Macaca fascicularis: one gene and its partners. The protein of the gene in region 2 interacts with the protein of the main gene of each other region in a biochemical or structural test. Links are inferred from orthologs where the notes say so. Each region holds a gene or a part of one and is shown on either strand. Other genes may lie near its edges.

Region 1 (4,836 bases), on a different chromosome or scaffold from region 2:
TATTCCATGATGTGGTGCGTGCAGGCTTCAGTGTGAAAGGTGAGTATGTACGTACCGTCTCGCTGTGCATCACGGCCCCTCCCACAGTACACAGCACCATCGTTTCTGGCAACCAAGTTTGATGTCATTAGAAAGCTTGCATCTCGGCCGGGCACGGTGGCTCATGCCTGTAATCCCAGCACTTTGGGAGGCCAAGGCGGGCAGATCACGAGGTCAGGAGATTGAGACTGTCGTGGCTAGCATGGTGAAACCCCGTCTCTACTGAAAATACAGAAAAATTGGCCAGGCGTGGTGGCAGGCGCCTGTAGTCCCAACTACTCAGGAGGCTGAGGCAGGAGAATGGCGTGAACCCGGGAGGCAGAGCTCGCAGTGAGCTGAGATTGCGCCACTGCGCTCCAGCCTGGGCGACAGAGCGAGACTCTGTCTCAAAAAAAAAAAAAAAAAAGCTTCCATCTCTGGGCCCTCTTTGGTCATCCTCCCCTTTCAAGTTCTTTCTCCTTTGTTTCTTGTTGTAGTCTTTTATTTACAAGAATTGAAATTTATTAATTTAAGGGCAAAATCATTTGCTGAGAGTATTATGGACTCATTCCTTAACATCTGGTTGATGCCAAATTCAAAAGAAGTATATAAAAATAAGTATTGACCTGAATTCCTCATGCTGTGTATCTTAAGACCTCTTATGAATTTGGTAGTACATAAAAGAGAGATTTAAATTTAGTTTCCTTCCTGACCTCGTCTCTATTCATAATGTTTAAAGAATAGAAAGTTGAACAAATCTTGCATTTGGTTGTAAAGCTACCATGAATTTCCCACCTGTTGCATCTCACATGTGATACTTTGCCCCTGCAGAGAGGTGCTTGGAAGACCACGAGCTGGTGGTCCAAGTGGAGAGTACCATGGCCGGTGAGAGTAAATTTCTATTCCGGAAGAATTATGCAAAATACGAGTTCTTTAAAAATCCCATGGTGAGTCTTACGTCTTCAGGTTTGGGGTTTGGGACTCTTGACATCTGGAAGTTTATACTTGGGTTTCATAGTATCAGATTAGAAAGTGACTGAGAGGCACGACGTAGCATATCGGTTTGAGAGTCAGAGTTGCAGTTTAATGAAGCAATCCTTGCTTGAAACCCAGTCTCGTGCTTCACTAAATGTGCCTGGGACTGGCTGAAGATAGAGGTCTCCTTCTTCAAATAGACACAGTGTAAAGGGGGTTAGTCTCTAAGACAGGAGCTGGGGGAGACTGGGCGTTTTCTGTTATTTTGAAAGTTCTCAGTTAAACTGATCAAACACTTAGCAGAAGAAAAACTCATTATTCTCTGCACACAGCAAACACATTTTGTGATCATACGTGGAAGAATGACTAGAGAAATCAGTGCGATTGGTGGTGTCTTGAGCTGGTCACCTTGATCTCTCTTCCCCTTTCTTTCTTTGGGAAAGAAGGCACTTGTCCTGTGAGAGGCCGGGATAGGGAGGGCACCTCCTAGCTCCTGGGGTACTTACTGTCGTCCTGAGTCATGGGGCAGAGCTGTGTCAGCTGGGGAGAAGACCCAGGGTCATTTCTGACTCTGATAATTTAGCTGCTTTTTTATTCCAGAGTGAGAAATTTGAAGACTGTTTTTGGGGAATGCAACAGAAAAGGCTTTTCTCGTGACTGGGCTTACCTTTTAGTTTCAGGAATTCTTTATCTCACTCTTTGCCATGGAGTATGCTGTGAGACATGCATCCCTTAGTAAACATAGGTGGTATTCCATACTCGTACCCAACATTTCAGGAAATGAAATACAACCTTTTGAAGGAGCTATTTCTTCTGTGTGATAGGAGAATAAAAAGGACTGCCATTTTAAATACAGGTGTACATAATTATATTGGTAGGAATAGTTTTAAAATTTACTTATCTATATGACATACCTTCCCTCACTTTGAAACTAACCTTTCACGTATTTGTTTTTTCCCATTTTCTTAGAATTTCTTCCCAGAACAGATGGTTACTTGGTGCCAGCAGTCAAATGGCAGTCAAAGCCAGCTTTTGCAGGTACTGGGCCAAAATAGACCTCTGCTGAAATAGACTTTCTGAATAGAAATCCTCTTGGAACTGAATGGCAACATTGTAAAAAACCTGAAGAGATTGCATCTTTCATCATTTATAACTTTGGCCCTTAAGGGGGTTTAGAGTAACCAGAAATTAAAAAGTTTACTTGGAAAATCTGTGTGTAGCTGGATTCCTGCTGAGCCAAACAGGCACTTACACACAGAATGCCCTTGCTCTGACTTAGAAGAGTCCAGTGATGCCACTGCTGAGTGTGGCCCGGGGGGTGCATGGAGAAACCCCAGTTTCAGGGCTCCCCAGCTCCTTTCTGAGCAGGGGTCCCAGGTCAGGCCACCGCCCAGCTGCTTGGAAATCTCTGCAGAAGCGCTGAGTCTATAGTAAAAGATGATTGGGTTACCACGACAGACTTTTACAAGTAACTTGCCATACATTACAAATAAAGAAACCTGCTTTAATTGTCCTAAAGTCTGTTCTGAGAAAATCTGGTCTCTCCCCACCTCCTCTTCCAGTGGAGGGAGCCACCAGGGCCTCTGTGCTCAGCTGTCACACACGCTCCTCCAGGGAAGCTGGGAGCGGGGAATGGGAATGTTACAGCTACACCCTAAAAATATGCCTGTGTACATGTCAAAAGTGAAAGAATGAATCATTTCCTAAGGCCACCAACAATATCCAAGTGACATATTACATGTAACAGAAACTACTAAAATATAGTTCCTACAGAATTCTGCTCATAAGCCCTTCTTTTGCTATGTTGTTATCACCAAATTTGTTTCAGCATCTAAAAGATAAGAGCTTCAGAGCTCTGTTCCGGTGGTGTCTTCAGAAGCCCTTCTGACCATAGCATGTGTCTGTTCTGGTGAGAGGTGTCAGTGCTAAGGTACCACCTGTACACCGTGAACAGTGAAATGGCACATTCTGTTTTAACTTGCCTTGACTTTGGGAGGACTCATGTGCTTTGTGAAGATATGCTGTGGTCTCTTGAGACTCAGGAAGGACTGACCCAGGTGCACTAGGGCTCTGTCCGACGTGCCTTTCCCACCTGGGGGAAAAGAGCTTTGTCCCCTCCCAGTCTAGTAGCAAGACCTGCCAACATCACCTCCCCAACTTTGCTCCGTGACCTGGCCCTCGGCCTGTCTTCCCTTTGATGAAAAGCATAGTTTCTTGTTTTGTTTTGTTTTGTTTTGATAAAGGCTTTATTCTTAAGGCTGCCTGTGGGAAAAGTTAAGTGGAACAGGGGGACATCACCAGGATGTCCTGCACCTGGGTTCATCACTTGCAGACAAATGACACCTTTTATGTGACCCTTGACTGGAGGGGTGCCTGGGTAAAAGTGGCCACTACATGCTCACTCTCAGTCCCCAGAGCCCCACTCACTCAGTCATGGCACTTGCTCTTGCCCTCAGTCTGATATCAGACTGGATCCTTCAGTGCACTCTCTTACAGGGAAATTCGTGACTTGTGTTATCACCAGTGTTAGAAAGGTCCATTTGCTTGCATGTGTTTAAATACGAATTATGTTCTATGCAGCACCAATTGAGATGGGATTTTAAGACTTTGGAAAGGAGAACACGCTCAGTTTGATCAAAAAAAGGAGTCTTTTAATAATTCAGAAAATGTCAGTTATGCTAATAACATGTCTGCTTTAATTATTTTAGATTAGCATTATGTAATTTTTAAAATTTGTTCTTCAACAGAATTTTCTGAACTCCAGTAGCTGTCCTGAAATTCAAGGGTTTTTGCATGTGAAAGAGCTGGGAAAGAAATCATGGAAAAAGCTGTATGTGTGTTTGCGGAGATCTGGCCTTTATTGCTCCACCAAGGGAACTTCAAAGGTGAGCTTTAAAACCTGCCACCACCAGCCCTGATTCTGCCCCCGTCACTGCCCCCGGGAGTCCTCAGAGTAAACCTAGGCTTCATTTTTAAATGCACCTTAGACTCCTCCAGGCTCAGGACAACTTCTTAATAAGCTAATTGTGCAACAGCTAAACTTGGAGTCACAGGTTTCCTGGTCTCCCTCAGAAACTAGGTAATAAATAATACATACCTAAGAACCCCACCTGCCCAGCCCCACCCCCACTGTGGGTTGGTAGCAGACCTCCCTGGCTGCCCTATCACTTCAGAGACTGGCCTAGTTCCCATAAGTTGGGATTTAAGCTAGCTGTAAAGATGTTTGATAGATGATTGCCACCCTAATGCCAGTGTAACTTTATGTATCAGATATTTTATGAAATAAATTTCAGGTTTGCATGTATCCGTAGTGAGAAGAAGGTGGGAGATGGAAAACAGCTGCAGGCCCTCAAAAGACAGCTGGTAGCACTGAGGGCTTAGGCTGGAGGCTCCTTCGCTCCCATGTACACTCTTGCCTGCTCTCTTCTCGTGCTGTCCACATACACCCTGTGGCAGGAGCCATGTCCATTCAACGTGGCTGAGCACTTACCATCTGAGGGCTACGGTCTCTTTTACTCTGGCCAGCAAAGGGGAAAGGGAGCTGGCGGGACCCTGGCACAGGTGTTGAGCATCAGGCCAACTCTGGGAAGTCAGCGGCTGCTGACGCATGGGCCAGAGAGAAGGGGGGTCATCTGCAGAGAGGGGCTTTGGTCTGACACAGGGCATGGTAGCGTCCTGACCTCTCAGCTGTGCTGTGTGGCCTGCTCAGAGTCCTCGTGTGTGCTGAAGTCGGGAGATTATTTCCTAGAGCAGGAAACAGAGCTAGGCTGGAGAGTTGAGGAGGAGAAGGGTGGGACAAGCTACCAGTGGGAAAACCCAGGGTACGATTGGACTCTGGATGCA
Region 2 (5,559 bases):
GTGGCTCACGCACCTGTAATCCCAGCACTTGGGGAGGCTGAGACAGGCGGATCTCTTGAGGTCAGGAGTTTGAGACCAGCCTGTCCAATATGGTGAAACCCCGTCTCTACTAAATATACAAAAATTAGCCGGGCATGGTGGTGTGCACCTGTAGTCCCAGCTACTCGGGAGGCTGAGGCAGGAGAATTGTTTGAACCTGGGAGGCGGAGGTTGCAGTGAGCCAAGATCGTGCCACTGCACTCCAGCCTAGGCGACAGAGCAAGATCCGTCAAAAAGCAAGCAAACAAACAAACAAAAAAACTCACGTCCTCAGCAGACTCCTCCCTATGCACCTCCCACTCCCCTCAACTCATCACACACTCAGTTATTTTAAGGGCTCTCTCCCTGGCTCAGTTGTGAACTCCACAAGGAAATGGGTCATGTTTATTTTGCTCACTGAAAAATCCCCCTACTACTTATTGCTTGTTGATTCTCCCACTCAACAAATATTTATTAAGCAACAGATATGTCAGCCACTGGGTTTAAGCAGTGAAACAAGACCGAAAAGATTTTCACTTTCGGGGGAGGGGAGAAGACACAGAAAACGTTGAATAAGAATTTCAAGGCCAATCATGGTGGTGCATGCCTGTAATCCTAGCACCTTGGGAGGCCAAGGCAGGAGAATTGCTTGAGGCCAGGAGTTCAAGGCTGCAGTAAGCTAGGATTGCACCACTGCATTCCTGCCTGGGTGACAGCAAGATATTGTCAAAAGGAAAAAAAAGAAAAGAGAACATAGAATTGCAGGTAGAGAGGTAAGCATGCTATGAAAATGAAAGAGAAGGGGCTGGGCACAGTGGCTCAGGCCTGTCCCAGCACTTTGGGAGGCCAAGGCCGGTGGATCACCTGAGGTCAGGAGTTCGAGACCAAATACAAAAATTAGCCGGGTGTGGTGGTGCATGCCTGTAATCCCAGTTACTTGAGAGGTTGAGGCAAGAGAATCACTTGAACCCAGGCAGGGGAGGTTGCAGTGAACTGAGATCTGGCCATTGCACTCCAGCCTGGGCAACAGAGCAAAACTCCATGTAAAAAAAAAAGAGAGAGAGAGAGAGAAGGGAACAGGGAACTGGTGGGGAGGATTTGCAAAAGTGTGGTTAGGGATGGCTCCTTGGAGCAGAGATGAAGCCATCCTGCAGTGTTACAGGCAAGGGAGACGCTGGGGTAAAGGCCTGGAGGCAGGAATAGGTTTGGCCTGTTGCATGAACAGTGGGTCCAGCTCCTAGCAAACTATTTAATAAAAGAAGAATGAATGCCTTGGGTCTAGGGTTGTGCTGGGCGCTTTCTTAAGTTTTCTTTCCCGGGTACCTCCCCAGATCTGGCCTGCAGGTATTATCAAACCCATTACACAAGTGAAACTGGCCCAGACACAGTAAAGTAGCTGGCCCAAGACCATACAGGAGTGAGGGGTGGAGGAACCCTCTTCCCATTGAGTTCTGGCTTTCCTATACTGAGTAGGTGGAACTGCTGTCCCGCCTTGTTGGTGAATGTCGTTGCTAGACGTTCAGACACATACAGGCTGGTCTGCTGAAAATCTGAGATGCTGAAAATCTGAGATGTCCACCTGCGCCCTATTCGAGGTCTCCGGAGTCGTCTTTGGCCTCTTCTTTGCTCTTTCAGAAGCGTCTGCACATTTTTCCAGGTGTCATTTCTTTAACTTGAACACAGGGAGCGCACTGGGCGCGCGGGCACGTGGCTGTCCCCAGGGGCCTGGCTTGGGTCTCGCCCCTGGGCGGGGGCGCACGCGCGGGCGGGACATCTGGGGGCGCCCACGCGCTCTGGGACGAGTGTCGCTGGCCAGGCCCGGACTGGGGAAAGGCGAGTGAGACACTACTCGCCTGGGCTGCAAAATTTAAGGGAGTGAAAAAAAGAAAGAAAGAAAGAAACGAAAACCACCTCGAGTCACCAAAATAAACATTTTAATGCAGTGTTAAAAAAAAAAAATCAACAGGAATCCTCCAAAGCCCACTATGAACAAAATAGCAAAACGGTAGAGAAAGGACCTGTGCTGCTGGGTAGGGCCTGTGGGGCGCCTCCGGGGGTCTGAAACTGGAGGAGACTCGGGGCTGTAGGGCCCGCGGATCTGGGGCGCCCCCTCGGTCCCGGCGCGCCCAGGGCCTCCAGCGCGGGGCCCGGCACAGGAGGCGGGGAGGCAGGCGGGGAGGCGGGCGGGGCGGGGCCGGGCGGCACCTCCCTCTCCTGCCTGCTTTCCCTCCCTCTCCTGGGCCTCTCCCGGGCGCAGAGTCCCTTCCTAGGCCAGATCCGCGCCGCCTTTTCCCGCGGCCCGCACCGGGCCCAGCTGACGGGCCGCGTTGTTTACGGGCCCGAGCAGCCCTCGCTCCCGCCGCCCGCCCGCCACCCGCCAGCCCAGGTGCCCGCCCGCCCGTCAGCTTGTCCGTTGGTCCGCGCGTCCCTCTGTCCCGGAGCCCGCAGGTCGCGACCCAGAGCGCGCGGGGCCGAGAGCCGAGAGACAGTCTGGGGCGCAGCGCCGAGCTCCCCGCCCCGACATCGTGGGACGGGGCCCGGGCCGCAGCGGCCGGGGGTCGGGGCCGCCACCGCCAGGGCCTCCGCTCCCTATTTGTAGCGGGCGAAGCCGCGCGCCTCCTTCCCGGGGCTGTCTCTAGGGCCCTCCCGGGCAGCGGGGCTGCGGCCCGCGGGTCGCCGGCGTGGAAGAGAAGGACGCGCGGCCCCCAGCGCCTCTCGGACGGCCGCCTCAGAGCATGACCCCCGCGGGCCAGCGCCGCGCGCTCTGATCCGAGGAGACCCCGCGCTCCCGCAGCCATGGGCACCGGGGGCCGGCGGGGGACAGCTGCCGCGCCGCTGCTGGTGGCGGTGGCCGCGCTGCTACTGGGCGCCGCGGGCCACCTGTACCCCGGAGAGGGTGAGTCTGGGGGCGCGGGCGTGGACGGGGAGCGCCGCGATGGGGAGAGGACCCCACCCGAGCCAAAATCGAGCCCCGGCTTGTGGACTGAGAACCCTCCCCGGGGGCGGGGGGCGGTGGCCGGGACTGTAGCTCCTGCCTCGCGTGGTGGGGGTGTGGGCGGGAAGCCGCTGACCTTGGCCTTTGCCCGCCCGGGCTCGCGCCTCCGCGCCCCGCGTGCCCGACCTGAGCCCGAGGAACCTTGCCCCAGTGCCCGCCCCGCCGCGGGCGCCTCTCTGGAGCGCGCCTCCGACCCGTGCCCCAGCCCCTCCGAGCCCAAGTCGCTCCGGAGACACGACATGCGTCGTCTTTGGGTCGCGGCCGGGAAGTGGGGTCACTGGGTCTGGAGAGCCCCGGACAGCCAAGTCCCCCGAGCGCATATGGTGTAGGTAGAGCCAATCGCCCCGCGTGCCTCACCGGTGGGTGACGCTGCCTGGGGTCGGGGACTGCAGAAACCCCCTCTACCCAGCTACCTTGGATTTAGGCCCGTGGCCACCCCGGACTCTAGGTCCACGTTTACCCTTTTGGGTTCTGTTTCCAGATGTCTGGAGGCAAATTCTAAAGCCTTAGCAACAGCAGCAATTGTAGCAGAAGTAGTGGCGGTTTTTTACCCTATTTATTGTAATTAGTATCACCGCACGCCACAGGCTGGTCTATCTTATCTCTCTGGACTGTCACAGTGGCCCCGGGAGGCGGATACAGTTCTGTACCCATTTCACAGAGGAGTAAACTAAGGCTCAGGTAGGATGCATAACTCCCTTGCCCTAAAGTCAGTGCCAGAGCCAGGACTTGAACCTCTCTGTGTCCCATTCTGCACAAGAATCTGGACTACTGTCCCTTGTCTGCTGTCTCCTTGACTCCTCCTCTCCCCTCAGCCCTGCCCTTCATGAAGGAGCCTTTGACCTTGAGTGAGCCTTTCCTTCCCCCTGACCCCATGGGCCCCTCTCCCACGTGTGGGTAGCATCTTCCTTGGGCTTGACAGCAGGCACCTTTGGGGTTGTAAGATAAAGATGGCGCAATCATTTAAGACAATATAGCCTGAGTGTCCCACTGTGGGGTCTGAGGCCCTGCTTTAAACATATCTGTTGGGTTACTGTTTCAGATTTCTCCATAAAAGGAAATCAGTGGTAATGAGGAAGGGGTCAGGGAGGGAAGGAATTGAAGCTCCTAAATTTATTGATGGGGAACCGGGTACATGTAAAATCAGAGGTGCTAGAGTGGACCAACCGGGTGTGCTGAGTCGACTCTGTGAATTACATAATGTTTAAAAGCCCTGCGGCCACCCCGCCCCCAGGTGCTTGGTAGACAGTAGGTGCTCAATGAAGGGTGGCGTTTAATTTGGGTTGTTGTTAAGAAAATCCGGCTGGCTGTTGTGACTCACGCCTGTAATCCCAGCACTTTGGGAGGCTGAGGCGGGCGGATCAGGAGGTCAGGAGATCGAGACCATACTAGCCAACATAGTGAAACTCCCTTCTCTGCTCAAAATACAAAAATTAGCGGGATGTGGTGGTATGCACCTGTAATCCCAGCTACTTGGGAGGCTGAGGCAGGATAATTGCTTGAACTGGGGAGGAGGAGGTTGCAGTGAGCTGAGATGGCACCTCTGCACTCCAGCCTGGCGACAGAGTGAGAGTTTGTCTTAAAAAAAAAATCCAAGACGAGTGGTTTAGAACTATGCCAGATTCTGTGTGTGCGTTTGTGTGGTTCCCTGCTCTTCTGTTCCTTGTAGCTTTGGTAATTAATCGTGGATCTGTGCCTGGACTTTCAGGGTCAGTAAATAGATTTACCATTTCTTTTCACATTTATGGCTTCCATATGGGCAGGGGTTTATGGTTTGTTGTTGATGTTGTTCACCACTGTATTTTTAGACCCCAGAACGGTGCCTGGCACATAGTAGGTGTTCAGTAAATATTTGTTCTGCAGTGGGGCACAGAAACCCTGGGTGTACTGGGCTCCTTTATCATCTTAAGAAGTTCTTTATTCTCTGCGTAATACCTTCCTAAGAATTGTAAGAGCAAGCTCTCAGCAGGTGCTGTTCTATTCGCTTTGCATATATAATCTCAGTTAATCCTCACGGCAAAACCCCACACGAGGTGTGATTTAATCGTCCCTTTTCACAAGTGAGAAAACTTCGTTTGAGGCCAGCAGGCAGCAGGGCTGAGATTGGAATCTAGCTAGTGTGGCTGCAGAGCAATGGTTTCTTAACAAATCTTTGTTCTTTTGAGTCTGAGCCTCCATACCCCCCATGTTTGGGGTAATGGTGAACAAAATCCTATCAAATAAATGGGCTGTGATGCCTCTTGAAGGCGTGGGGAGGGGCAAAGAGCTTTTCAGATCATTAGATCATTAATCTCTAATGTCAACCAATGTGGCTTTTTTTTTTTTTTTTTTGAGACGGAGTCTTGCTCTGTCACCCAGGCTGGAGTGCAGTGGCACGATCTCGGCTCACTGCAACCTCCACCTCCCAGGTTCAAGGGATTCTCCTGCCTCAGCCTCCCCAGTAGCTGGGATTACAGGTGTGTTTCACAACACCGGCTAATTTTTTATATTTTTAGTAGAGACAGGGTTTCACCGTGTTAGCCAGGACGGTCTCAATCTCCTGACCT
Region 3 (5,385 bases), on a different chromosome or scaffold from region 2:
AGGCCTGAGATCAGTTAAAATGTTGCTTGTCATCTAGGTGGCCAGGTTTAGGGAGAGGGACAAATGCTTGTTGAATGGCTATTATGTGAATTAAATTGACATATATTAAAGGTGATCTCTGTAAGGAGCACATGAGTGCTGAAGCAGTTAGCACACAGTATGAAAGTCATTTGTATATGAATGAAATGGGCAAGCATTAAAACAATGAGGATGCTGGAGCTATATAGATATGGGTTAAATTTATGGCTCTGCCATTCACTAGATCTGTAGCCTTTATTTATTTATTTTGAGAGTCTTGTCCTGTCGCCCAGGCTGGAGTGCAGTGGTGCGATCTGGGCTCACTGCAACCTCTGTCTGCCTGGTTCAAGCAATTCTCCCTCCTCAGCCTCCGGAGTAGCTGGGACTACAGGTGTGCGCCACCAACCCCGACTAATCTTTGTATTTTTAGTTGAGATGGGGTTTCACCATGTTGGCCAGGCTGGTCTTGAACTCCTGACCTCAGATGATCCACCCACCTTGGCCTCCCAAAGTCCTGGGATTACAGGTGTGAGCCACCACACCCAGCTAGATCTGTAGCCTTCAATGAGTTATATGGGCATCAATCAAGTAAAAAAACTCTACTCTTCTCAATCTGGTCTGAGTCACCATTATTCCCAGACCAGAATACTACAGTATTCCCGTATTTTGACTGGCTTCTCCGTTTCTGGCCTTGCCCTCTTCCTCGAGCTTCACAGTGTCCAAAATAATACTTCCCCACCACCCAGCTTTTTCGTTTGTTTGTTTTTTGTTTTAGAGACAGGGTCGTGCCATGTTGCCCCGGCTGATCTTGAACTCCTAGGCTCAAGCAATCCTCCTGCCTCGGCCTCCCAAAGTGCTGGGATGAAGGTGTGAGCCACCATACCTGGCCTGAGTGCAGTGGCCTGATCTCGGCTCACAGCAGCCTCGACCCTCCAGGCTCAAGCAATTCTCTCACCTCAGCCTCCCGAGTAGCTGGGACTACAGGCGCGTGCCACCACGCCCGGCTAATTTTTGTATTTTTTGTAGAGATGGGATTTCACTATTTTGCCGGGGCTGGTTCCCAACTCCTGGACTCAAGCGATTCGCCCGCCTCAGCCTCCCAAAGGGAAGTGCTGGGATTTCAGGCGTGTGCCACTGCTCCCACCCCAAAGTAGTATTTGTTATTATTATTATCGAGACGGAGTTTGGCTCTATTGCAGGCTGGAGCGCAGTGGTGCGACCTCGGCTCACCGCAACCTCTGCCTCCCAGGTTCAAGCGATTCTCCTGCCTCAGCCTCCCAAGTAGCTGAGATTACAGGCGAACGCCACCACGTCCAGCTCATTTTTGAATTTTTAGTGGAGACCATGTTGGCCAGGATGGTCTCGATCTCTTGACCTCGTGATCCGCCCGCCTCGGCCTCCCAAAGTGCTGGGATTACGGGCGTGAGCCACCGCGCCCGGTCTATTACTAGTTTTTTTAGGCAGTGTCTTGCTGTCGCCCAGGCTGGAGGGCAGTGGCGTGATCACGACTCACTGCAGCACCGACTTCCCGGGCTTAAGTTATCCTCCCGCCGCAGCCTCCACGCCTGGCTAGGGTTTTGCATTTTTTGTAGAGATGAGGTCTTTTTTGCCCAGGCTGGCCTCTAGCTCCTAGGCTTAAGCGACACTCTTGCTGCAGCCTCCTAAATTGTTGGGGTTACGGGCGTGAGCCACCGCGCCCAGCCTAATGGAGGAAACTGAGGCTCGGAGACAGTAGGTAATTCCCCAAGGTTCCACAGCTAATGAGTCGAGTGGCGATTTGTGGAACGAAATGAATGAAATCGATGTGGCAGTGGGCCCGGACGCGCCCGGTCGGTGGAGTGGCGTAGCCGCCGAGCGCGCAGCTCACACCCGGCGGCCGCGATTTCCGGGAGGAAGCAAGGATGCTTTGGACGCTGCGCTTAGCGCCTCCGCGGAACCCCCGCGCTGCCATTCCCGGCCGTGGCTCCGTCCTCGGCTAACGGGAAGCAGGAAGTGGCGGCGGGCGTCGCTAGCGGTGACATCACGGGGGCGACGGCGGCGAAGGGCGGGGGCGGAGGAGGAGCGAGCCGGGCCGGGGGGCGGCTGCACAGTCTCCGGGATCCCCAGGCCTGGAGGGGGGTCTGTGCGCGGCCGGCTGGCTCTGCCCCGCGTCCGGTCCCGAGCGGGCCTCCCTCGGGCCAGCCCGATGTGACCGAGCCTAGTGGAGCTTGAGCAAGGAGCGGGTCCGTCGCGGAGCCGGAGGGCGGGAGGAACATGACATCGCGGAGGTGAGGAGCCCCGAGGGGCCCGGCCCGGGCCTCGGCCCGGCCCCCGCCGCATTCGGTCAGCCCCGTCCGGAAGGGGGCGCCCCGGCCGGGCTTCGGGCTCCCGCCCCGGATCGGGATTGGGGGCCAGTTCCCTCCTCGTCCCCTGTCCCTCCTCGGCCCGGGGGCCGGCCCCACCGCGCCCCCACCCCTTGGGTCCCCATTCATTTCCTGCCTCCCTGAGTTCCGGCTGCGGCAGCCCGGGGGATGCCCGTCAGGCCTGGGGCAGGTAGAGCCGCCTAGGGAACCACGGGCGCCAGCGGCCCGGCTCAGCGCCGCATTCCTGACCCATTGCCTCATGAGAATTGCCTCATGGTGATTCCGAAATAACCCTGCTCACTTGGGGAGGCTCCTTGGGACACGAGATGGGAGTTGCGCGGGGCCGGGCCCCCAGTGGTCTAGTCGTTCTGGGTCACTGTGCCACTTGCGTGCATTTGGGGTCTTAACGAAGGACCCCTGACCCTTTTATGTGCCCCTTTGTGTCTTCTTTTTCTCCCACCCCTCACGTGCCAGAAATGGAAAAACTGACTGTATCTGCAGCCACTAGAAGTATTTCCTTCCTCTGCGATATTCGCTTTGGGAGATGGAAAGGAAGGGAGCCGCATCTCGTTATTTAATCCTTCACTGCAACCTTAACAGTCAGGTCACTTTACTGGTACCCGTTTTATGGATGAGGAAACCGAGGCCCAGAAGCAACATGCTAGTAAATGACAAGATTTGAAACTAAGGAGAATTAGTGAGTTAATGAGATCCTTTGAAAGATCAGGGTAATATTACTACTAATAGCTAACATTTGCTTAGTTCTGACGACAGCCCTCTCAGATGGCTACTATTATCCCCATTGTAAAGATGAGTAAACCGAGTTTCGGAGAGGTTAAGTAGATTGCTTAACCTCACAGCTAGTAGGTGGTGGAGACAGAATCCCTACTTTTAATCACTATGTTGCTTCTATTATTTTGTAACTATTGCTAACCACTTGTAAGCCTTAATTTTGTTGTCAAACAGTAGTGTGACTTGTTTTCAGATAATGATCCTGCTATTTTATATAATCACTCTATATACCACTCACACTTAAGACCCATTGTCTATTCTTTTCCATGGTTGTTCAATTATGGTCACTGTCTCAGACATTTAAAAAACGATTCAAGCTATTGAGGCTATTTGAATGAGATTTTTTTTTCTTTCTTTTTTTTTCTCTTTTTTTGAGACGGAGTCTCACTCTGTTAACAGCCCAGGCTGGAGTGCAGTGGCACGATCTCGGCTCACCACAACCTCCGCCTCCTAGGTTCAAGCGATTCTCCTGCCTCAACCTCCCAAGTAGCTGGGACTATCGGCATGCCACTATGCCTGGCTAATTTTTTTTTTTTTTTTTTTTTTTTTTTTTTTTTTTTTTTTTTTGAGACGGAGTCATGCTCTGTCGCCCAGGCTGGAGTGCAGTGGCCGGATCTCAGCTCACTGCAAGCTCCGCCTCCCGGGTTCACGCCATTCTCCTGCCTCAGCCTCCCAAGTAGCTGGGACTACAGGCGCCCGCCACTTCGCCCTGCTAGTTTTTTGTATTTTTTAGTAGAGACGGGGTTTCACCGTGTTAGCCAGGATGGTCTCCATCTCCTGACCTCGTGATTCGCCCGTCTCGGCCTCCCAAAGTGCTGGGATTACAGGCTTGAGCCACTGCGCCCGGCCTAATTTTTTTTTTTGAAACAGAGTCTCGCTCTCTTGCCCAGGCTGGAGTGCCGTGGCGCAATCTCGGCTCACTACAAGCTCCGCCTTCTGGGTTCAAGCCATCCTCCTGCCTCAGCCTCTCAAGTAGCTGGGACTACAGGTGCCCGCCACGACGTCTGGCGAATGTTTTGTATTTTTAGTAGAGACGGGGTTTCACCATGTTAGCCGGGATGGTCTCGATCTCCTGACCTTGTGATCCGCCCGCCTCGGCCTCCCAAAGTGCTGGAATTACAAGCATGAGCCACCGTGCCCGGCCGAGTTTTGTATTTTTAGTAGAGACGGGGTTTCACTATGTTGGCCAGATTGGTCTTAAACTCCTGACCTCGAGATCCGCCTGCCTCGGCCTCCCAAAGTGCTGGAATTACAGGCGTGAGCCACCGCACCCGGCCTGAATGAGATTTTTCAAAATATTAGGAATGTCTCCTCCAAACAGACCTGGCATGTTATTCTTACATGGATCTGGAATTTAAAAAGGGGAGAAAAAAGAAAACAGAACTCGTAGGAAGTGAGTGACTTGGACAGGTCTGTTGGCAAGTGCTTGCGGATCTGGGTAATATATAACTGCATTTCAACGGAACAGTGTATAGCCTCAAATGTTCTAATTCTTTAGGGAGCTTTTAAATAAACAGTTGTCTATTCTTTAATCTGTCTAATAGTCATTGAGCCTTTTGTTCCTGGTGTCTGCTCTTCCAGACAAGTAAGGATTTGCTGCTTTAGGGGGCTGAGGGTTGGGAAAAGATCTGTGTAGTATTAGACCCTACATTGTCCAGTTTGTTAGTTTAGAAGCATGGAAGTGTGGGCATAGTCAAAGCAGCAAGTGGTAAAGATGACAGTTTGAAATGGAGTTGTTCCTTTTCCCCTCCAGCCCTGGTATTGTGTACCACCCAAAAAGCCAGATTATGAACATAATACACAGAATTTTGAATGATTTATCATTTTTTAGATTATAAGTCTGTTTTATTAACCAGCCTTACTGAGCTATAAATGACATGCAATTAAATGCATATATTTAAATGTACAATTTGATCAGTTTTGACATACATATACACTTGGGAAACCACCACCACAGTCAAGATAATGAACACATCTATTGTCCCTCGTAATTTTGCCTCATGTTTTTTGTAATCCCTCGTTTGTTCTTAGCCACTGTTCTGCTTTCTGTCACTATATATTAGTTTATATCTCCTAAAATTTTTTTGTTTTTTTAAAATTTTTAAATTGTTTGAATAGAGATGGGGTCTCACTGTGTTGCCCAGGGCAGTCTCAAACCCCTGGGTTCAAGCGATCCTCTCACCTTGGCCTACTGCAGTGTTGGGATTATAGGCGTGAGACACCCTGCCCAGCC

What was found.
Region 1: the proteins of INSR (region 2) and GRB10 form a complex in vitro, tested with the Homo sapiens proteins (5 studies listed by BioGRID and IntAct). The link is inferred for Macaca fascicularis from reciprocal best matches to the Homo sapiens genes INSR and GRB10.
Region 3: the proteins of INSR (region 2) and PTPN11 form a complex in vitro, tested with the Homo sapiens proteins (2 studies listed by BioGRID). The link is inferred for Macaca fascicularis from reciprocal best matches to the Homo sapiens genes INSR and PTPN11.

The regions. Positions count from the first base shown.
Region 1 is NC_088377.1:79,813,215-79,818,050, forward strand, and holds part of GRB10 (growth factor receptor-bound protein 10), read left to right. Parts: intron 1-849; coding exon 850-965; intron 966-1,962; coding exon 1,963-2,031; intron 2,032-3,740; coding exon 3,741-3,878; intron 3,879-4,836.
Region 2 is NC_088393.1:8,022,271-8,027,829, reverse strand, and holds the start of INSR (insulin receptor), read left to right. Parts: upstream 1-2,271; 5' UTR 2,272-2,814; coding exon 2,815-2,914; intron 2,915-5,559. UniProt on the Homo sapiens protein: Receptor tyrosine kinase which mediates the pleiotropic actions of insulin.
Region 3 is NC_088385.1:119,339,518-119,344,902, forward strand, and holds the start of PTPN11 (tyrosine-protein phosphatase non-receptor type 11), read left to right. Parts: upstream 1-2,064; 5' UTR 2,065-2,271; coding exon 2,272-2,285; intron 2,286-5,385. UniProt on the Homo sapiens protein: Acts downstream of various receptor and cytoplasmic protein tyrosine kinases to participate in the signal transduction from the cell surface to the nucleus. Positively regulates MAPK signal transduction pathway. Dephosphorylates GAB1, ARHGAP35 and EGFR.